Linked DNA regions of Mus musculus. The protein of the gene in region 1 purifies or fractionates together with the protein of each later gene. This does not show direct contact. Links are inferred from orthologs where the notes say so. Each region holds a gene or a part of one and is shown in the gene's direction. Other genes may lie near its edges.

Region 1 (3,850 bases):
CTAGAGTGCTGGGATTATACACCATACCCAGTTTAGTCTGCATTTTTTAAATGTCTATTTATGGGGGACGGGGAAGGCAGTGAAGGATGGAGATAACAATGATACCTGTATGAAAGCACCATATTGAAAATAATTACTTTGCATTCTAACCAAAAACTTAGTTTAAAAAATGGAACTGGACACTGGATATTGCATGCCTGAAACACTAATGCTTGAGAGAGAGGTAGGAGAATCAAGAAGTTCTCAGTGGTGGTGCACACCTTTAATCCCAGCACTTGGGAGGCAGAGGAAAGCAGATTTCTGAGTTCGAAGCCAGCCTGGTCTACAGAGTGAGTTCCAGGACAGCCAGGGCTATACAGAGAAACCCTGTCTCAAAAAATAACAAAAAACAAACAAACAAAAAAGAAGTCAAGTTCTCTTTCGATGTACAGGGAGTTCAAGCTCGGCCTCCGGTTCATGTGATCTAAACTAAAAAATAAATAAATCAGTAAAAGTCTACTTATGTGACAAGACAAAAAAACCAACCAAACAAACAAACAAACAAAACACTTTTTTGGATGACATTAGATGAACATGTGCCCATTCTAACACCGGACTGAGGTAAAAACCTATAAAAATAGATGGCAGTAAATAGTAAACTGAGATTTTTAACTCCCTAGGCCACCATGACTACTGAATAAAAACTATTTGGTTTTCACTGGATCTTAGCCTTCCTCCAAGCTTATTAACACATTTACCTTTAAAACACTCCTGGATACTACCAGAGTCTCCATCTTCCACGATTTTTCAGGCCTACACAAATATCACAGGAACAAACAATGGCATGGCCAGAATTGGTGCCCAGGCCACGTACAGACAAACTGCAAGCCCTACTAAGTCGCAAAACAATGCCTAACTTGGACAGGTATCCGTGGGATCTGTCTCCGCTCACACCTAGGGCACAGAGAACGGGCTATAACTCTGGGGAAATAATTTGTCTCGCCCCAAACACCTCTGTAATAGATTTACCCATAGACACTGTGGTGTAGACGCTCCATTCGGAAGCTACAATGCAGGCACTTCCAAGAGTTTGAGCAGCCCGCGTCCTACTGCACTACCTCTGCCCCACAGCATGCTGGGAAACGTAGTCCCAACCAGGTCCTGAGCTGGTTAGCCAACCCTCAGCGCCAGTCGGGCCAACATCCGGTGACGAATCCAAGTCCCGCCTCTAAGCCCATCTGCTGTCCAATGCCGCCCTCTGCCGGTCTTTACCTCCCCGCCTAGCTGTGAGCCGCTTCCAGACAACCCGGAAGTGATCTTTCCTCTTCCGGATTACGGGTCCGGACGTCCGCACGTGGTTGCCGGTTTAGGGTGCTGCTGTAGTGGCGATACGTCCCGCCGCTGTCCCGAAGTGAGGGATCCGAGCCGCAGCGAGAGCCATGGAGGGCCAGCGCGTGGAGGAGCTGCTGGCCAAGGCAGAGCAGGAGGAGGCGGAGAAGCTGCAGCGCATCACGGTGCACAAGGAGCTGGAGCTGGAGTTCGACCTGGGCAACCTGCTGGCTTCGGACCGCAACCCCCCGACCGTGCTGCGCCAGGCCGGGCCGTCGCCGGAGGCCGAGCTGCGGGCCCTGGCGCGGGACAACACGCAGCTGCTCATCAACCAGCTGTGGCGGCTGCCGACCGAGCGCGTGGAGGAGGCGGTGGTCGCGCGCTTGCCGGAGCCCGCCACTCGCCTGCCCCGCGAGAAGCCGCTGCCCCGACCACGGCCGCTCACCCGCTGGCAGCAGTTCGCGCGCCTTAAGGGAATCCGTCCCAAGAAGAAGACCAACCTCGTGTGGGACGAGGCGAGTGGCCAGTGGCGGCGCCGTTGGGGCTACAAGCGCGCCCGGGATGACACTAAAGAATGGCTGATCGAGGTGCCTGGGAGCGCCGACCCCATGGAAGACCAGTTCGCCAAGAGGACTCAGGCCAAGAAAGAACGCGTGGCCAAGAATGAGCTGAACCGTCTGCGGAACCTGGCTCGCGCGCACAAGATGCAGATGCCCAGCTCAGCCGGCCTGCACCCTACTGGACACCAGAGTAAGGAAGAGCTGGGCCGCGCCATGCAAGTGGCCAAGGTTTCCACCGCTTCGGTGGGACGCTTCCAGGAGCGCCTTCCCAAGGAGAAAGCTCCCCGGGGCTCCGGCAAGAAGAGGAAGTTTCAGCCCCTCTTTGGGGACTTCGCAGCCGAGAAAAAGAACCAGTTGGAGCTACTTCGAGTCATGAACAGCAAGAAACCTCGGCTGGACGTGACGAGGGCCACCAACAAGCAGATGAGGGAAGAGGACCAGGAGGAGGCTGCCAAGAGGAGGAAAATGAGCCAGAAAGGCAAGAGGAAAGGGGGCCGGCAAGGACCTTCGGGCAAGAGAAAGGGCGGCCCGCCGGGTCAGGGAGAAAAGAGGAAAGGAGGCTTGGGAAGCAAAAAGCATTCCTGGCCTTCTGCTTTAGCTGGCAAGAAGAAAGGAGTGCCGCCCCAAGGTGGGAAGAGGAGGAAGTAGCGTTCTCCCCTCGGGACCAGTTCTGAAAAGCTGGGACTGTACTAAAAGTTAACTTGGGCGGTATAGGTGGCCGCTGCCCTCAGTGACATTTGACATTAAAAGGACGGGTTTGCCTTCCCTCGAGTCAGTGCTGGACGAGTTAATAGAGACACTGACTGGAAATTGGTGTATTTTGAGAATTATAGAAATGATATAGCCAGAACCAGGAATAAGTTAAGGCCTGCCTTTTTATCTTGACTTTGGATACTGCGTTACAGTAGATTGGTTTCAACATTTTTGCATTATTTTTATAACAAAGCTTGTGTATTTATCAAAGCGGGGAGGGCGGGGGAAAATTATATCTACCTGTGATTTGCAAGTATTGTAAATGGATGCAGGTACCTGGTGTTGCTTTTAACTTTTACTGTCGGTAGAGGTTGCATGTGAAGCCAGTAACCTGGGCACCAATATGGAGTGTGCTTGAGAAAAACAAAGTAGTTACAGTGGTTCTAAAAAAGACCCCTTGTTTTAGGAAAACTTTGGCCCTAACTATAATATTAAAAGTATAGTGCTTTTTGGTGTTGGTTCAGGTGGTGCATTTGGCCAATGGATTGCTTTAAGTCCAGAAATAGTTGTCATTTTGTTTGTAACCGGTGGCTTTTGTTTAATTGGCTTGGGTTTTAGATATTGTCAAAATATCTGGCATTCACTATGGAACCAAGGCTGCCCTGGAACTCAGGGCCAAGTGCTGAGATTATAATCGAGCAGCAGATTTCATGTTTATTTCTGTCCTAGATGTTTTTCCCTGTTTCATTGTCTTATTTTGTTCTTAATAAACTTATCTTTGCATAATTAGTATTTGCATTATTTTTGTAAGTTATTAATAGCAATTCTAGAATTGAGGAAGGGGTGTTTTCTTTAAAGCAAGTTGGTCTGTCAGTTGCTAGCAGTTGGGAATTGGGTTGGAGGTTACTCTTAGTGTGGTTTCAGTTTTATAAGGTTACTTGTAGAAATGCAAGGAAAGCTCAACTTGTCTCTTAACTCATGGAAACACTGGATTGTTAGTGACTTTGGGTAAAGCTCTAACTAGGCTCATCTTTACTGAACTCTTCCACTGGAGAAGAACTATAAACTCTTCCAGTTTATAGTTCTAAGTATCCATGAGAACTTTATCAAAGCCAAGCTGTTGACAGCTAAAAGTAACCTCTAGCCCAATTCCCAACTGCTAACAACAGGACTTAACTTTCAGAGATTAATTTGGGGTTTTGGTTGGTCAGTTTGGGGCCTTTTTTTTTTTTTTTTTTTTTTTTTAAGTTTACGAAAAACCCAGTGGGGTTCTTGCCATTGAGACATTT
Region 2 (3,500 bases), on another chromosome or scaffold:
CCAAAATGGAAAAGACTTAAAACCATCAACACCGAGATCAAAGGTAAGTACCCAACAACAGACCTACTAAATTCAGTGCCTAAAAAAACTTTGTGCTTTGTGGTACTTAACCTTGCCTACATAATAGACTATAGTGCACACTAAGATAGCCCAATACATAAATTTGTGAAGTGTGTCATGTTCTGTGGTGGATTCCAAGGTTGACTTATTTTGTAGACTTGTTGAATTCTGACCTGTTATAGCTTTCACGATCTGGGTGGTGTGTGTGTATTTGTAGAGGTCAGGAGTTGTCTTAAGAGGCTTGTCAGGATTGATTGACTTTATTTTGAAGCATCTCTTCCAATCTTTTACTTTAAGATTTATTTATATAAGTACACTAGCTGTTTTTCAGACAGATGGTTGTGAGCTACCATGTGGTTGCTGGGAATTGAACTCTGACCTCTAACTGCTTATGCATCTTCAGCCCTCTAGTCCTGACAGGCTTTCTAGCTAGGAACAATTAGCAACTTCTCTGTGCTCTATAAGGGATTTTAGGGAGGAGGGAAATCTTGGTAATTACTTTGTTAAGAACTGTACTAATAATCTTTGAAAACTTTTTCCAGGGTCAAGAGTCCTTCAAAAAACAGGAAAAGACTCCTAAAACACCAAAAGGACCTAGTTCTGTAGAAGACATTAAGGCAAAAATGCAAGCAAGTATAGAAAAAGTGAGTAAAATTAACCTTTGAATATTAGAAATTCTACTAATGTGGGAATTTGGGTTAAAAGTAGATTATAAGTAAGAATATTCATAAATTACTCCAATAAAATGTATAAGGGTACTTTTTTTACTGGGGTTATGCTGTAGAACAAGCAGAGGGTGTTTTGTTTTCAGTAAAATTAAAAACAGCTGGAAAAGTAAGAGTAAAGTGGTTGGCTGCCTGAGGTTATTTTATAGCTAAGAAAAAAAGAATCACCTTTAAGTATTTCACAACAATTTGAGTTATTTCTGTGCCCTCTGTTCCAAAGCTCCCTCAGTCCATGACCTGAAATTTGTGTGTGTGGCTAATAGGCTTTCATCTAGTTTGAAATAGAATTTATCTTTCTTGGCATTTGGCTGGGACTAAATACATTTATATAAACCTGGGTTGTGTAGAATGGAATAATACAAATGATTTTTTTTTTTTTTGGAGAGCTAAGTTTATCTCCATTATGATTCTAACATGTGAATTACTTGAATACATGTGGAATGTTATGCAGATTGCCCATTCTTTTTCCTATTTTTTTCCTGTCTTGTAGTTCTCACATGGCTTCAGAAGATTTTCTTCCTTTGTGCAGCCACAAATGGATTGGAATTTAGCACTTGGCAGCACATTTCATATTTCTTATTAAACTGTAAACTTAAGTTTCCTGGTGTCACTGATTTATTTTTTATCCCTTGCATACACTGCTAAAATGATGCCCCTCCCCCCCATTTTAATGTGGTCCTATCTCCTTGGTTTAATTGCAGGCGCATTGAACATTCCTGGGCACTACTGGTAAATTAAGCCCAAAGATGGGGAAAGAGGAAAAGGAGAAACAAATATAGTACCATCAACAATCCAGACATCTCAATCCCCTTTCCTGATTGGCCATCCATTCCCCCTTGCAGGCTGGAAGCAATCTTGTTTTTCCTAAAGCATTTTTCTTTTACTTTTGTGATGCAGAAAACTACTTCTCTACCACTTGTGCATATGCCTCATTTCTTTGACCATGTTTTAACCTTTGTATCCTTAGCTACTCTCAATAAATTTTTAAATGAATCAATAAGGATGTATGTGACAATATTTTCAAATTACCGTAGTGAATTATTTTCTAGGTGATGAAGGCAATTGAGTACCTTAATACTCAAGGTGATTCTGGAATTTGGAAGCCTTAGTCTTGCTAAGTGCATAGAAATGCAAAAAGGTTAAAATTTAGAGAAGTGGATTTTATATGAAATAGGGGATAATCTGTAGTGACACTTTATGCTGATAAGTTAACATTTGCATTGCAGTATCTTAATTTGTAAGAATTTTGGCAGCAAAACTTGCTGATAATTGTGGTTTAGTCTACATTCATAATTGGAAGCATGCCAAATCGATGCTACAGTTAGTAATAAGGTACCTACTTTTAAATCCCTTCAATTGCGTGCTTTCCTAGGTAATTGGAAAACACTTATGAACAGGTCGTATCTAATTTGTTTTTTGGTGATAGGTGATAACATGAATTTGTATATTAGGCACCCAAGTGGCTGTACTTGCATGCCAGTAGAGCCCTCTGTAGTTTAAATTGGCTGTTTGGAAGGAACTGGGCATTAAGCAATAAAAAACCATGGTCTTTCTGGGTTTGGGCCCAGAGTTGGTTTTTTTTTGTTGTGTTTTGTTTTTCCAAGACAGGGTTTCTCTGGCTGTCCTGGAACTCACTTTTGTAGACCAGGCTAAACTCAGAAATCCGCCTGCCTCTGCCTCCCAAATGCTGGGATTAAAGGCGTGCGCCACCATGCCTGGCTTTAATGTTGGTTTTTAATCAAATGGGAATGTTAAAGGGTTATAGTTTGTGTAATGGCATGTAAAACTTTGGAAGTTTTTTCTAATGATGTCTCAAACAATTGCTGTTTGTCCTTAATAATGCTTTTTTTCCCCTCAATAGGGCGGTTCTCTTCCCAAAGTGGAAGCCAAGTTCATTAATTATGTGAAGAATTGTTTCCGGATGACTGACCAGGAGGTAACTGAATTTTCTGTGGACGTGACCAAATCTAAAATTTTCATTGATTTATTATGACTTTTAGTCTCAAGTTGTTGGCTCCTTGTAAAAAGTTCCTAACCACAGACAGTACTTAAATACATGGAAAGAATTTAATTGGCAGACTGAGCAAATAATTTTTTAGTGCACATTTTTCCCAGGTTTTAAATAGTTGGTAAATTATCTCTTGGTTACTGAACTTAGTTTTACTCTTAGTAGTGTATTGGCTAAGGAAATAGGATATGGTTTTTATTTGCTCCATTTGGCTGCTTTACAGTCTGATGATACTTGGACTCTTGGAAGTGGTAGTATCTTCTCCAGATAGCAAAGGAGGGTAAAATTGGTAGAATCAACCTAGATGGGTTAAAGCCTCTTGCATGTCAAGTTACTGTTATGTTTATTGTGGTATTAGGATACTTGGGCCATGCAAGGGCAAAGCACTACCAGTGATCTCTTCCCAGTGGTATGAATTTACAGTGTTAAATAGTAAATATAATGGGTTAATGTTAGACCTTCTGAATGAACAGTTGATTTAATTGGTTTCATCAGTATTGGCTATAGAGGTGTCTATTCAAAAAGAATTAAAAGGAACAATATAGCAGTAGAGTATTAAATGATAGTATTGCCTATTTAAATTATAGCTCCCAGGTTTGTAGTCAAAAGTGGTTAGGATTGAGGCAGACTGTCAATGATTGGAAGTAGTGATGTCATCAAATTCAGTCCTTTCGTGTTAGCTACAGATTGACCTAAGTTTTAGAATT
Region 3 (4,173 bases), on another chromosome or scaffold:
AAAAAGAAAAAGAACCAAAAGCATAAAAAACCACAGCAAATTTCTTGATGAGAACTGAAAATAAAAGTTTCCTTGTATTTTAGTGATCTGGTTCTGTGTGGGTGAGTGTGGGTTCCAGGTACCCCAGGAACTGGCTTATCCTGGAAGACTGCCTGTGCTCCTGACAGGGTGACATTCTGGCGAACAAGAGGCTTCTGGACCATTGTTTATAGGCTCTGATCTTTAGCAAACTGTTCGCAGAGCACTCCTGCAGGAAGTAGCCACTTGCCTGGTACAGTTGTGAAGACATTGGGCAAGTGTTCTACCATGGAATACATATGCGTGAATATGTAATTATAGAAGTATAAATTTTTTGAGGGTCTAAGTAACAACTGCCTGCCCCTGCCTCTCAAGTGGGGGAATTAAGGATGTGTTACCTTAAGTATAAATTTTTTGAGGGTCTAAGTAACTACTGCCTGCCCCTGCCTCTCAAGTGGGGGAATTAAGGATGTTACCGTACCCTAAAATTTTTTCCTTGGTTTATTGTTATCACTTTTTTTTTGTTTGAAGATTTATTTATTATTATATATGAGTACACTTCAGACACACCAGAAGAGTGCATCAGATCTCATTGCAGATGGTTGTGAGCCACCATGTGGTTGCTGGGATTTGAACTCGGGACCCTTAGAAGAGCAGTCAGTGCTCTTGACTGCTGAGCCATCTCTCCAGCCCCTTATTACTGGTTTTCTTTGAGACAGGGTTTCTTTGTGTAATCCTGGGTCCAGGAATTCCAGGCTGCCCTCAAGTTAAAGAGATTCACCTGCTTCTTGCAGAGGGCTGAGATTATAGAGAACTACCACTCTCTTATATAATTTGTACATAGCATCACTGTGCACGTGGAGGTCAAAGAGCAGCTTGTAGGAGTTTGTGCCCGATGCCACTAGATGGGTGGGTCCTGGACTCAAAGACTCAGTTCTGCAGGCTCGGAGACAAGCGCGTTTATCCGCTAAGCGGTCTCCCTGCTTGGAAGGAAGGCCGGCCGAGTGCGTGTTCCTATGTGAAAGGGTCCGGAGGGGAGGGTTACCTCTAAGGAAAGCGGCTCTAATACAAAACTTTGGGAACAGGAGGGCGAGGGGCGTGGGACCCCGCGATCTTGCGGGCTAAGGCAATTAGGGTGCCAGCGGGAGGGCCAAGTTGCGGTGCTAGGTGGAAGGAGCGTGCGGCCTCGGGAGTAGCGGGCGGAAGCCACCTTCCGAACCGAGGGCAGAGAAACGCTGACCGCAGCGCCGCGCGTTTCCCTCTCTGAACCGCGGGTGAGGGGCGTGTCCCTGGATCACGTGTGTTCCGGTGCCGCGGCCGGAAGAGGCGGGGCGTTGTGACGACCCTTTTTGCGCTTGCGCGATTCACTTTCGCGGTGTGCGACCTCTGAGTTCTTCCCCCCAGTGCACGTGGAGCGGGCCTTGACTGGAGGTGCCGGGTCAGCCGGAACCAGGTCTAGGCGAGCCGAGCCTTCAGGTGCGTCTGCAGGATCGCGGAGCAAGGTTCCGAGAGGGGCGTGGTGACGAGGTCCTGTGGGAGATCCTGGAGGGGGCCATCGGGGTCCTGAGTAGTGGTCCTGGGCCGGGCGGTACCCATCCCTGGTAATATCCTTAAGCCTACGGCCTGCGTTCCCATTTCAGCATCCACAACGTCGCTTTGCCTCGTTTGTCTTTGCTTTAGTTATCATGGGGCGCAAGTTGGATCCTACGAAGAAGGAGAAGCGTGGACCCGGCCGAAAGGCCCGAAAACAGAAGGGTGCGGAGACCGAATTGGTCAGATTTTTGCCTGCAGGTGAGGGTCGTAGCTCCCTGATCCCGGCCAGCCTTTGCCCCATTTTGTGCCATAACTTCTCGTTTGCGTGTTCGCCTTTACCTGCTGCATAGATGTGAGCTGTTAGGAGATAAATAGTTTGGGTTAGAGAAGGGTGGGAAGCTGCCACTGGGGCATGGTACTCGTGCGAGGAGCGGTGCGATCTTCCGTTTCCAGGAAGGGAGTTCTCATGAAGAATTTGGAAAGATGTTATTAAGCTTAGTTTTGGTAAGCAAGAGTTGGAAACGGAACAGACCGGTCACGAATTGTCCGGAAGAGATGGAATGAAAGCACGGATCTGAGCCCTCTGTGGTGAAGGATGATGGAAGATGCAGTTTGTTGAAATATTGGCAAGCCACAGGCCCATGAAGGAGATCCTCAACTGTATGGACACATGGTCTCACTTCATCGAATTTTAGAGTCCTGGGAGAGAGGCTTTGTTATTTGTTAGGTTAGAGGTGTCTTAACACACAGTAAGTGAAAAGGGACATTTCTTGTAGATTGTAAAACCAAAAATAGCAAAATTAAGTTCTAATTTAGTTGATAACTGAATAAGCTGAGAATAAGGGAAGGGCAGAAAAGGGGTTTGAGGTTACATTGTTATCAGAATGTCACTGTTTGAGTTTCCTTGCTGAACAGTCTGATGGCTGCTTCCTCTCCTCTACATCTTTTGGTCTTTTTTGGGGTGGGGTGGGGTGGGGGTGGGGGTTTCGAGACAGGATTTCTCTGTATAGCCCTGGCTGTCCTGGAACTCACTCTGTAGACCAGGCTGGCCTCAAACTCAGAAATCTGCCTGCCTCTGCCTCCCGAGTGCTGGGATTAAAGGCGTTCACCACCACACCTGGCTTCTTTTGGTCTTTTTAAGTTTTCTGGAAGTGATGGGAATGGAGCCTTGGGCTTTCCCCATACTCCGCACAGGCTGTACTATTGGCCTGTCTTTCACATCTCCTGTAACTCCTGGATGACTTGTATGGAGTGACTCCCATGGACTGTAGTTTATAGCCTTAGTCTTTCCTGCTGCCGTGGGTGAATATGAGGACTTGTACATAACAAACAAACTCGCTCTACCACTGCCACACTTTTCTTCGTTAACGTGGTGATTCTCTCTCTTCCTAATTACATGCCTGCCCCCAGTTTGTATTTCCTATAAATTCCTAATCTATCCCTTTTTTAAATTAACAGCTGGCGATGAGAATTCCAAGAGGCTGTCGAGTCGTGCCCGAAAGCGGTGAGTGTGAATCCGCTGGTTTAGTGAGATTGTAGCTGCTGGATCCATGGGTGAAGAGGGCTGGTTGTGCATTGTCTTGTTTCCTTGTGGTGGGAGGTGGCAGAACCCGGAGGTATGTTCCCTTGTCTTCACTTTCTGTATTCTTTCAGGGCAGCCAAGAGGAGGGCAGGGTCTGTTGACGTCCCTAAGCCAAATAAGTCTCCTGGGATCAAAACATTGCCTGGAGAGTTATCCAAAGGTTAGTGACTATAGGAGTTGGTTGCTCTGTGAAGAATCCTCTGGGACCTGGATAGGGCTAATTGTTTCTAGAATGGAAGGAACGGCAAAGCAAAATATATATATATGTACATATATATATATTTTTTTTTTTGTTTGTTTGTTTCTTTAAGATGCTGGAGATAGCTCAGGCCGTGGTAAGAGACAGATTTTCTCTGTGTAGCCTTGAGTATCCTTTAACTCACTTTGTAGACTAGGCTGGCCATGAACTCACAGAGATCCAACTGTTTCTGCCTTACTTTTGAAAAATCACAACTCAGTTTATTTTATATATATGAGTGTATTGCCTGCATATATGAGTGAGTGTCATGTGGGTGCCTGGTTCTGTGGAGGTCAAAAGAAGGCATCGGATCCCCTGGAACTGGAATTACAAATGGTTGTGAATCCCCACCATTCGAGTGCCAGGGCAACGCCTGCTCTTATCCATTGAGTCTTCTCTCCGGCCCTATTTTTACTCTTTCTTGTGTGTGTCCGAATGTGGTTGTGTGCTCGTGAGTGGGATGCTGAATCGACTGAGAGTTGGAGATATAGGTACTTGTGAATTGTCATATGTGGGTTCTGGGGTCTGTGCTTTTAACTGTTAAGTAAAGCCATCTCTCCAGCCCTCAGAGACCATGCTTAGGGCTAGAAAGTACAGGCTCCAGGGGTGTGAGGCAGGGTGTGGTTGCCGTCCATCCAGGGTTTGGCAAACCCTCACTCTTCTCAGGAGCAGTCCAGGCTCGAGGTAAGAAGCGCCCAGCACCAATTCAAAACAGTGATGGGGACGAGGAGGAAGACTCGGGGGAAGACGATGTGGTGACCCAGGGGGACCTTTGGGGCTCTGAGGACAGTGATGAAGATAT
Region 4 (3,500 bases), about 110 Mb from region 1:
CCTGGGGTTAATGAACTTAAGTTTGGTTTATGTAAGGTTTCTCTAATAGAGCCCCTAAAACCACAGGAATCATTTTTTGTGAATTTGCTTTTACCGGGGTTTAAGTCAGGGGATGGAAATTGTCGCTTTGTGACCACCACCTTCTTGAGGCCTACTGCCAACTGATTCCTCCCTGGAAGAGAATTTCCTCCCCTGGGGACTCCTCCCGCTGGTTGCCTCTCCTAGTTCCCTGAGCAATTCTTCCTCTTGGGAGACTTGTGCTGTCCCATCTGTTCTTTTGTTTGCGTGTGGGGAAGGAGAAGACGAGTCTTGCATTGTCCTGAGGAGGCTCGTGGGCTTTGGCGCTTTCTTTGTGGGTCATTGAGTCTCCTGGAACTCGTCTGGAATGTAACTGCCGTCTCCTGCAGGTGCCATGGCCAACACAGCCAGCAGCCTCTTTCTTTCCTTTTGTCAAGTGTTTCTCCTCAGTTCCTCCAGCTTCCTGCTAATCTTAGTAGCCACTTCCTCTGCCTGAGTCATGGCTTCTAAATCCTGTAGACTCTACAGTCTCATAGGATAGCTATTCCTCACTTGCTCTAGAGGTTGCTCCCCAAATACATCTGATTCTTGATGTATTACTGCACTTGTTTGACAGCTACCAGGAGATGCAATCTTTGTTCACTGTTCAGCTAGTGAGATGCAGTGAAAAATGAGTCCATATTTACTCCAGAAACTTGGTTCCAGCTCGAGAGCCAAGAAGTGGCTCAGATGCTAGGATGAGCCATCACTTGCATGTCAGAGACCATGTATTTCAACAGGTTTTTAAATTTACATCTTCTAAGCACCTTTAAAGTGTTGGGTTTTGATTTGGTTGGTTGGAGTCGGAGATTAACTGTGGAGTTCTGGCTGTCCCAGACTTGCTACCTGGACCAGGCTGGCCTTGAACTTGTAGCTGTCCTACCTCTGCTTCCCAATTACTAGGATTATAGGCACTCATCACCATGCCCAGCTTAAAGGGAATTTTTATTATTTATCTGTCTGGGTATTCTGCCTGTCTATGTGTTTGTGAACCGCATGCATGCCTAGTACCTGCAGAAGCCAGAATGGGGGGCATCAGAGCTTCTGAACTAGGAAATTGAAGCTGCCATGTGGGTGCTGGGAATTGAACCCAGGTCCAGTGCTCTTAGCCACTGAGCAATCTCTCCAGCCCCTACAGCCTTCCTAATGCTGCAACCCTTCTATACAGTTCTCATGCGGCGGCCCACAGCCATGAAATTATTTCATTGCTACTTCATAACTCTGATTTTTGCCTGTGTTATGATGCTGGGGCTTAAACCCACCTTTTTGTCTGTGTTGGGCATCCAACCCTTGGCTTTTTGGTTTCTTTTCTTTCTTTCTTGATTACTTTTATTTATTAGAATGGGGCAGGAGTGAATGTAGAAATCAGCTAGTTTGTTTTTTTTCCTTCCACCTTGTGTTTCCTGGGGTTGGAGTCAGGTAGACTTGGTAGGTAGTGCCATTGTCTGGTGAGTCATTTCACTGCCCTTGATTTTTGTTCTTGGAATGGCATGTCCTTTCAAATTCCCTTTCAAAGGATCTGTTAGTTTGCAGTGGTAGTCTGTTGTTTTGGTGTGGTTGGAAGTGTTGGTAGGAGATGGTTGGTGGTTGATACTCAACCTGGCCTTACTCTGTCTGTGTAACTGAAATTAACTTTGAATTGCTGATGTTTGTTTTTGTAATATGTTGTTGAGCTTTGTGGGACATTGGTATTTTCGTGGCATCCTGATGAGAGGGTTTTTTTTTTTTTTTTTTTTGGTTTTTTTTTTGGTTTTTCGAGACAGGGTTTCTCTGTATAGCCCTGGCTGTCCTGGAACTCACTTTGTAGACCAGGCTGGCCTTGAACTCAGAAATCCGCCTGCCTCTGCCTCCCGAGTGCTGGGATTAAAGGCGTGTGCCACCACGCCCGGCTTCTGATGAGAGTTTTTAAATTGCCCTCGTTTCATGGAATGACAGTCTGTTACTTAACACAGGTCAGTGCCAGGATCGAAATATAGACATTTGAACTCCAGAACCCACCCTATACTTATGACCATTCTGGGTGTGGGAATCCACTCATGAGCTGGTACAGGGGTTAGGAAGTCCAGACCAGTTCCTTTGCCTAGGCTGTGGAAATCAGGGCAAGTTCCTGGAGGCTTGTTCCTGGAGGTTGTTCCCACCCTTAATGTGTGAGGTGAGGTTGAGCTTGCCTGTGTTCTCCTCTGGCACTGGGGACTGAACCAGGGGAAACACGATAGGTTAGCACGGGCTTACATTGCTATTTTATTTTGAGACAGTTTTACTTAGTTGCCCAGACTGTCCTCATTATACTCACAAGATCCTGCCTCAGCCTCCTGTGTAACTGGGATTCCAGTCTGGGATTACCCAGACTGCTAGGGTTTTAATGAAGGAAAAAAAATCTGGCCCTCGCTGGTGTGTGCCAAATAAGACTGCCAATGAAATGAGAAATGAGTAGACAAATCCAGAACTGTGAAAGCCCAAAAGATAGCCTTCTTACCACCAGCGAGTACTACTGAATTCATTGTAGCCAGAATACTCAGGGATGTATCATACTAAGCCGAATTTTAAGGATACCAGAAAATCTATATTCCAAGCTGTGACTGTCTTATCTGTCTGTCTGTGTGTTAGTTTGGGGGATGGGGGCAGGGGCCAGCGGCTTTGAAATAGTAAAAGTTGCGACTGGGGCTTTTTAGGAGCTTGGTGATAGTTAGACTTAACTGCTCTTTTGTGGGTTTTTCTGTTACAGACTGGAAACAGCAAAGGCTATGCCTTTGTGGAGTTTGAGTCTGAGGATGTTGCCAAGATAGTTGCAGAAACAATGGATAACTACCTTTTTGGTGAAAGACTTCTATCATGTAAGTATTCTGACCTTTCTGCACTGTGATGGGATTACAAAGTTACTCGTGACATTGTACTCGGAAGAGAAGCTGACCCATCTTTAATGTGTGATTGGAAAGAATTTTGCTCAAATTGAAAACTGGTGGGGTTAAAGCCCAGCATTAGTGGTACACGCCTTTAATCCTGGCACTTGGGAAGCAGAGGCAGGCTGATCTCTCTAAGTCCAGAGGCATCCAATGCTCTGTAGAGACCTTATGTCATCAAAAAAGGAAAAGAAAACTGGGGGTTAGATAGGCATAAGCCAGGAAAAGGATGGCAGTGCAGCCTGAGGTCATTTCTTACCCAGTGAGTGGTGAATGCCAAACCAGAGGTCACTAACCTTTAGTTATTGGGATGTTAGGGGATTCAAATGGGGAGCAGAAGATGGGCTACAGGTCTGTGAGGCCTGGGTGCAGCCTCTTAGCCGAGTCTACACAGGGCAAGACCAAAAGTAAAGAATCACATTTCAAGATCAGACTCAGTGAGGGAGGTGCAGCCCTGGCCGTAGCCCGGCTCCGGGCTCAGTAAGAGGCAGTTTGAAAGAAGTGAAGCAGAGAGTAAGAGAGTAGAAAGTCTTCCTTGCCCTG
Region 5 (4,277 bases), on another chromosome or scaffold:
ACAGGGTCTTACCATGTAACCTTGATTAGCCTGGAGCTATCGATATATACCAAACTAGCCTTGAATTCACAGATGTCTGCCTCCAAAGTGCTGTGATTAAAGGTGCGTGTCACCATTCAACTCCTGGGGTGACATTTTAATGAAGTGGTGGAGGTGAGGAAGCCAAAGGAACATCTTGTTTTGCTTGTTTGTTTGTGCTGTGTCGCCTCATCTAATCACAAGCATTTATAGCTTACTTTTCTTGAAACAGAGTTTCACTGGGTAACCTTATCTGCCTTGGAATTTGCTATGTAGCCAGGCCTGTCTCTGCCTCCCAAATACCAGAATTAAAGGTGCGTTCCACCATGTCCTGCCAAGCGCTTGTAGCTTCCTAGTTGCAATACATACACATTTCTTTACTATCCAAGTCCACTTTATTATCCAAGCCAGCTCCATTACAGGCAATGTACAGCCAACTTACTCCATTATAGAGAAAGTACAGCCGACTTACTCCATGATAGACAATGTACAGCCGACTTACTCCATGATTCTTTTTTCTCGCATAAGGCATAGACTATTTAAGAGAGACTATTCAAGTTTGGGATTTATTTTCTCTCTCTATTAGATATTTTCTGAATTTACATTTCAAATGCTATCCCCAAAGCCCCCAATACCCTCCCTCCGCCCTGCTCCCCAACCCAATCACTCCCGCTTCCTGGCCCTGGCATTCCCCTGTACTGGGGCATATGATCTTAGCAATACCAAGGGCCTCTCCTCCCATTGATGGCCGACTAGGCCATCAAGTTTGGGATTTATAATCCTAACACTAAAGTAAAGTGTCTTTTTATTTTCTTTTTTAAAGCAAAGGTGATTTTAAATTATCCACCTTGGTGTGCCTAAAACTGGCACTGAAAAAAACAGGAACGCAGCTCCTTGGAAGAATTCTGGGCCTACGCGGCCATGAGCAACCACGTGGTGCCGAGCAGCGCTGGGTTCTATGAATCAGGGAAAGGAACAGAACTAGGAAGAGGTAAACCGCTCTTGTCTATGCCTCAGCCCGCACCAACAATTTTGTTAACAACAAAATGTAAAAGGAAGAGGCAGGCAGCAAGAAGACGCCATTTCTGCAGGGTCTGAGGCCGGGTCCCACGAGGACCCGGAATATCTGGGCAGCGGGAAACCTGCGAGGCTTATCAGGAAGCCTCATGTCCCCTCACCGAGTTCTGCCGCCCGGCACACGGGTGACAAAAGCACGAGGAACGAAGAAGGGTGGTCTCCAGGCCACTCTGCGGCCTGCCGGCAGGAGCGACACCATTCACTACAGACGCAGTACCGGCTCGCGCAGCCGCAGAGGCTGGGCTTGGCAGGCCCGCTCGCGCCCGTGGTAGTCCAACCCGCCCGACGGACGATACCACACCCGCGAACCCCCTCCGAAGACCTGACAATGGTTTCGTCCGCAGCCTCTGATTGGTCAAACCGGAGAAGGTGTGGTCTCCGCAGTCTGGTTCCGCGCGCCAGAGCGCGCTAGCCGCATTGCGAGCTGGGCACGGAGCAGGCGCCATGGTGAGGAGTGGTGGTGGGGTATTTGCGTAGTGAAGGCCTTAGCGTGCGTCTGGGTTTGCATTCGGGGTCGTGCTCCGGGTCTGAGCCAGGGCCTGCTCTAGCAGCGGCCCCGCGGACTGGGAAGTTTGACTGATGGCCGCGCGCCGGTTCTTTTCAGGTTCTGCTGCACGTGCTGTTCGAGCATGCGGTCGGCTACGCGCTGTTGGCGCTGAAGGAAGTGGAGGAGATCAGCCTGCTGCTGCCGCAGGTGGGTGAGCTCGGTGGGCTCGCGGAGCTGCAATGCAGCCCCTAAGGCCGCCAAACCCCAGCATGCACCGCGTGTTCCCACGTGGCCGACCGCACCGGGCCCGGCGGGGGGGGGGGGAGCTCTAGAATGAGGGGACTCTTTAACGCGAATCTATATAATTGGAAGCGGTCGGAGATAAACATCTCATTTCCATTTCTTGAGAATTAAGATTCGGGGCCCAGGCACCAATTGCTACAACAGCTGGTGCTTCTGCCTTACTGCGCTGTAGAAGCCAAATTCAAAGAAAGCCCATTCATCCTTCTCTCCAGGTGGAGGAATGTGTGCTTAACCTTGGCAAATTCCACAATGTCGTTCGTCTGGTGGCCTTCTGTCCCTTCTCTTCATCCCAGGTGGCCTTGGAAAATGCCAATGCTGTGTCTGAAGGTGAGTCGGTCCCTCCGGAACATGGGATTCTGGGTGGTTGATGTTCTTAGATGATTTTCTTCTAAGCTTGATACAGTCTAGGGATTATTTGAGACCTACAGGATGGCATTTTAAAACATTAATATGCAGGGGCTGAAGAGATGGCTCAGCGGTTAAGAGCGCGACTGCTCTTACAGAGGTCCTGAGTTCAAATCCCAGCAACCACATGGTGGCTCACAACCATCCCTAATGAGATCTGATGCCTTCTTCTGGGGTGTCTGAAGATAGCTACAGTGTACATATAATAAATAAATCTTGTAATTTAAAAAGCACTTAAATGCTTTACAATTGTGCTCCTGGACCTGTGGTAGAGCCAGGCTTTGCAATGATGACTTATATATCTGTCAATCCCCTGAGAGATCACTGACGACTCCATGTGTCTGAGCAATGCCTGCGGGGATGGGTGTTAACTAATCCGATTGGAGACAGTCTCCAATCTGCAATGTGTGGTTTAGAGCTGTTTTCTTTGTCCCAAAGGTGTTGTTCACGAGGACCTCCGCCTGCTCCTGGAGACATACCTGCCATCTAAAAAGAAGAAAGTACTTCTGGGGGTTGGAGACCCCAAGATTGGTGCTGCAATACAGGAAGAGTTGGGGTACAACTGCCAGACTGGTGGTGTGATAGCTGAGATCCTTCGAGGTAAGAGTCCTATTTCATTTATTCTGTCCACCACGTGGATGCAGTGCCCACAGAAGCCAGCAGGGGGCCTACGGGCCTGGTGATGTGATCTGCTGTGAGTGGTTACTTGGGTCCTGGAGGATCTATTCTTAAAGTCCCATCTTCTTTTTAGGAGTTCGTCTGCATTTCCATAATCTGGTGAAGGGTCTGACAGATCTTTCTGCTTGTAAGGCCCAGCTAGGGCTGGGACACAGCTACTCTCGTGCCAAAGTTAAATTTAATGTGAACCGAGTGGACAACATGATTATTCAGTCCATAAGCCTCCTGGACCAACTGGATAAAGATATCAATACCTTCTCGATGCGCGTCAGGTAAGGTATAGAAGTCGAGCATGGCCGATGATTCATGTGGGTAAAATCATGGACCAAAGCAAGGCCTCCTTGTGCTTACCACAGGCTGTGTTCCTACACTGACTGTATAGAAAGAGGAGGCAGAATAAACCTACCCCATGTACACCTCAGCCTAGGCCACTGTGCCTGGTCTGTATTGTGAATGGGGAGACACGGGCCTGAGAGAGCTTGGGACCTGAGTTGAGGTTTGATAGCTGGATCAGAGAATGACTTCCTCTACAGGGAGTGGTATGGGTACCACTTTCCAGAGCTGGTGAAGATCGTCAATGACAACGCCACATACTGTCGCTTGGCTCAGTTCATTGGGAACCGCAGGGAGCTGAATGAAGAGAAGTTAGAGAAACTGGAAGAAATTACGATGGACGGGGCCAAGGCTAAGGCCATCTTGGATGCTTCTCGGTCCTCCATGGGTCAGTGCGGAGCGCGGCAGCCTGTATAAGGTACGAGACTCCTTGAGTATCTGGTCCCCCTGTTCACACTAGGTGTTTCCTAGGCATGGACATATCTGCTATCGACTTGATAAACATCGAGAGCTTCTCCAGTCGTGTGGTGTCTTTGTCAGAGTATCGCCAGAGCCTACACACTTACCTTCGCTCCAAGATGAGCCAAGTAGCCCCCAGCCTGTCAGCCTTAATTGGGGAAGCGGTGCGTCATGGGGAACACAAAGTGGGGGAGTGAAACTCAGCATTCTGTACCGCTATCCTTGTGGCTAGCATGTTGTCCCTAGTTGATGCATGGTGGGGAAGAGAAGAGGGGATGAGCCTGGGAGGTCAGGTTCCCACTTACTCACCTGACCTCCTCCTCGGATCTTTCTCCAGGTAGGTGCACGCCTCATTGCTCATGCTGGCAGCCTCACCAACCTGGCCAAGTATCCAGCGTCCACAGTACAGATCCTTGGGGCTGAAAAGGCCCTGTTCAGGTACCAGTGAGGGCGCCTGCTCATGTCAGGTGCTGCTTCTGGTGTCCACTGTTTTGTTTGGGGATTACAATGATGGCTG
Region 6 (2,223 bases), on another chromosome or scaffold:
CGAAGTGAGTTCCCAGAGTGAGAGTCTCCGGGAGGCCTGAAAACATGGCCAGAACAACATCCCATTCCCTTCCCTCACAAACAGATCTCAATAGATGATGAAGAGTTGGCACAGCATCCAGCTACAACTGAAGACATTAGAGTATGCTGTCAGGACATCAAAGTGCTGGGGCGAAAGGAACTTAGGTACACAGGTGTAAGGGCAACATGATGTTGGACTCTGGGGACCAGGATTTTGTTGTTTATGGCTAAACCCTGAAATCTGGAGTGTGGGCTTTTAAGGAAGAGACAGGGACAAAGATGGGGGTAGATTAGTCAGTAATAGTATTTCTTGGGCAGGTCTCTTCTGAATTGGAGAACAAAGCTTCGGCGATATGTGGCTAAGAAGCTGAAAGAGCAAGCAAAGGCATTGGACATCAGGTAAGGAGGAGGTAGCCAGGGTTAGGGAGGGTTGGGTGTGGGATCAAGTGTCTGGGAAAATAAACACACCTTTCGACTGGTTTGCCAGCCTCAGCTCAGAAGAAGAAGAAGAAGGTGATGAAGAAGAGGCAGTAGCTGAGACAAAGCAGGCGCCAGAGGAAGAAGAAGAGAGAGAGGAAGAACAGCTTAATCGGACTCTGGCAGAGATGAAAGCCCAAGAAGTGGCAGAACTCAAGAGGTGAGGGGTCTGAGGAGGAGTATATGAAAAGGGTAAAGGACACTCAAGTTTTGGAGACAAGCAGGTTAAATCCCTCAACATCTGATCAGGAAGAAGAAGAAGTTGCTTCGTGAGCAGAGGAAGCAGCGGGAGCGTGTCGAGCTGAAGATGGATCTGCCTGGGGTTTCTATTGCAGATGAGGGGGAGACAGGCATGTTCTCCCTGCGAACCATCCGTGGCCAGCAGGTAAGGGAGAGCTGGGCCATCGGTTTGAGGGCTCAGAGGTCGGGGGAAGCATCGAGTTAAATATATTGAGTGATCGTGGGGTTTGGTTGTTGTGTTTACCTATAAATACTAGAGGAGAAAAGGAGTACCCGAGACTCCAGAATGCTCAAATGAAACACCTCTAATATGATGACATCAGGAAGCTCTATAAACTAGAGTTAAGACCAAGAGTTCACATGACAGGAGATGAAGTTGTAATGCCTGTGTTACCAAGGGGGCACAATTGACTCACTGGGTTTAATGAGCACTGTGATTTGGGCTGCTGAAGAATAAGCCTTTCAAAGCAATCTCACAGCAAAATGAGCTTTTGTGGTGCAATGGCCTGGTCACCTTTATGACACAGGAGAGGCAATAGAGCAGGAACGGTTTAGTGCCAACTCCCCTTTTATTGTGTAACTTAAGTCTGTTTTCCCCACTTGTTAAATAAGAATACACCATACCATATGGAGAGGTTTAAAAAAATGGTTGAGTATTACCCCCAGAATGGTGTGATACTCACAGAGCAGCTCTGTCCACCAGGAGTAGAGGTTTTGGGGTTCTAATAGTAGTCAAAATCAACAGATGCAGTTTGATGCCTGTTGAGTGCTCCTTTATTTGGGATCAAATTACACAAATGTGAATTCTGTATGTCAAGTGGCTTTTGAGGGTTTTTTGTAAACTAGTCAGTATGTAGATCAGCGCCCTGTACATTTTAGACAGGTTGATTACTTCCTAGGTCACGGCTGCTGTGTAGGGACTATTATTTGCCAGTGTTCTTTCTTATTGATGTTGCTGAGCTAAGTTAATGGGCTTGGGAAGATGCTGCCTAAGTTCTTGAATCTATTTCAGTTATTAGAGGAAGTAACACAAGGAGACATGAACGCTGCAGACACCTTTCTGTCTGATCTGCCAAGGGATGACATCTATGTGTCAGATGCTGAGGACGATGATGATACTTCTCTGGAAAGTGACCTGGATCCAGAAGAGCTGGCAGGAGTCAGGACACACTCGGATCTGAAGGAGCAGAAGTAGTAAGGGCTCTCTGTTTGAGAGGAAGTGCTGCCCTCTGAGACAGAATTAACTAGTGTGGGCACGGACAAAGAAAGGCCTATGAGGTTGGTTGGGTCTCTTGAATCTGACCTCTTTCCTTTGGGTCTACAGCTTGCGGTTTACTCAAGTAGATGACAATAAAGAGGAAGAAGGAGAAAATCCATTGCTGGTACCACTGGAAGAAAAGGCAGTACTGCAGGAAGAGCAAGCTAGCCTGTGGTTCTCCAAGGTAGAGCTAGGGAGACTGGTGGGAAGTGGCACTCCCTAGAGAAG

Evidence for each region.
Region 2: the proteins of Rrs1 (region 1) and Npm1 purify together in Homo sapiens (affinity purification with mass spectrometry; 3 studies listed by BioGRID and IntAct, counting the BioPlex papers as one, with this or other methods). This does not show direct contact. The link is inferred for Mus musculus from reciprocal best matches to the Homo sapiens genes RRS1 and NPM1.
Region 3: the proteins of Rrs1 (region 1) and Nop2 fractionate together in Homo sapiens (co-fractionation; 3 studies listed by BioGRID and IntAct, with this or other methods). This does not show direct contact. The link is inferred for Mus musculus from reciprocal best matches to the Homo sapiens genes RRS1 and NOP2.
Region 4: the proteins of Rrs1 (region 1) and Nifk purify together in Homo sapiens (affinity purification with mass spectrometry; 3 studies listed by BioGRID and IntAct, counting the BioPlex papers as one, with this or other methods). This does not show direct contact. The link is inferred for Mus musculus from reciprocal best matches to the Homo sapiens genes RRS1 and NIFK.
Region 5: the proteins of Rrs1 (region 1) and Nop56 purify together in Homo sapiens (co-immunoprecipitation; 3 studies listed by BioGRID and IntAct, with this or other methods). This does not show direct contact. The link is inferred for Mus musculus from reciprocal best matches to the Homo sapiens genes RRS1 and NOP56.
Region 6: the proteins of Rrs1 (region 1) and Ftsj3 purify together in Homo sapiens (affinity purification with mass spectrometry; 3 studies listed by BioGRID and IntAct, counting the BioPlex papers as one, with this or other methods). This does not show direct contact. The link is inferred for Mus musculus from reciprocal best matches to the Homo sapiens genes RRS1 and FTSJ3.

Annotation. Positions count from the first base shown.
Region 1 is NC_000067.6:9,544,106-9,547,955, forward strand, and holds Rrs1 (ribosome biogenesis regulatory protein homolog), read left to right. Parts: upstream 1-1,302; 5' UTR 1,303-1,418; coding exon 1,419-2,516; 3' UTR 2,517-3,350; downstream 3,351-3,850. UniProt on the Homo sapiens protein: Involved in ribosomal large subunit assembly. May regulate the localization of the 5S RNP/5S ribonucleoprotein particle to the nucleolus.
Region 2 is NC_000077.6:33,153,207-33,156,706, reverse strand, and holds part of Npm1 (nucleophosmin), read left to right. Parts: coding exon 1-43; intron 44-602; coding exon 603-704; intron 705-1,486; coding exon of another isoform or gene 1,487-1,495; exon of another isoform or gene 1,496-2,646; coding exon 2,647-2,721; intron 2,722-3,500. UniProt on the Homo sapiens protein: Involved in diverse cellular processes such as ribosome biogenesis, centrosome duplication, protein chaperoning, histone assembly, cell proliferation, and regulation of tumor suppressors p53/TP53 and ARF.
Region 3 is NC_000072.6:125,130,510-125,134,682, forward strand, and holds the start of Nop2 (probable 28S rRNA (cytosine-C(5))-methyltransferase), read left to right. Parts: upstream 1-1,373; 5' UTR 1,374-1,494; exon of another isoform or gene 1,495-1,520; intron 1,521-1,698; 5' UTR 1,699-1,703; coding exon 1,704-1,809; intron 1,810-3,009; coding exon 3,010-3,055; intron 3,056-3,204; coding exon 3,205-3,293; intron 3,294-4,037; coding exon 4,038-4,173. UniProt on the Homo sapiens protein: S-adenosyl-L-methionine-dependent methyltransferase that specifically methylates the C(5) position of cytosine 4447 in 28S rRNA. Required for efficient rRNA processing and 60S ribosomal subunit biogenesis.
Region 4 is NC_000067.6:118,324,843-118,328,342, forward strand, and holds part of Nifk (MKI67 FHA domain-interacting nucleolar phosphoprotein), read left to right. Parts: intron 1-2,782; coding exon 2,783-2,891; intron 2,892-3,500.
Region 5 is NC_000068.7:130,272,935-130,277,211, forward strand, and holds the start of Nop56 (nucleolar protein 56), read left to right. Parts: upstream 1-1,477; 5' UTR 1,478-1,539; coding exon 1,540-1,542; intron 1,543-1,699; coding exon 1,700-1,789; intron 1,790-2,097; coding exon 2,098-2,212; intron 2,213-2,580; exon of another isoform or gene 2,581-2,639; intron 2,640-2,728; coding exon 2,729-2,890; intron 2,891-3,041; coding exon 3,042-3,240; intron 3,241-3,302; exon of another isoform or gene 3,303-3,435; intron 3,436-3,501; coding exon 3,502-3,689; intron 3,690-3,772; coding exon 3,773-3,924; intron 3,925-4,097; coding exon 4,098-4,198; exon of another isoform or gene 4,199-4,277. UniProt on the Homo sapiens protein: Involved in the early to middle stages of 60S ribosomal subunit biogenesis. Required for the biogenesis of box C/D snoRNAs such U3, U8 and U14 snoRNAs. Part of the small subunit (SSU) processome, first precursor of the small eukaryotic ribosomal subunit.
Region 6 is NC_000077.6:106,250,862-106,253,084, reverse strand, and holds part of Ftsj3 (pre-rRNA 2'-O-ribose RNA methyltransferase FTSJ3), read left to right. Parts: coding exon 1-4; intron 5-84; coding exon 85-185; intron 186-338; coding exon 339-419; intron 420-507; coding exon 508-657; intron 658-746; coding exon 747-882; intron 883-1,749; coding exon 1,750-1,931; intron 1,932-2,061; coding exon 2,062-2,179; intron 2,180-2,223.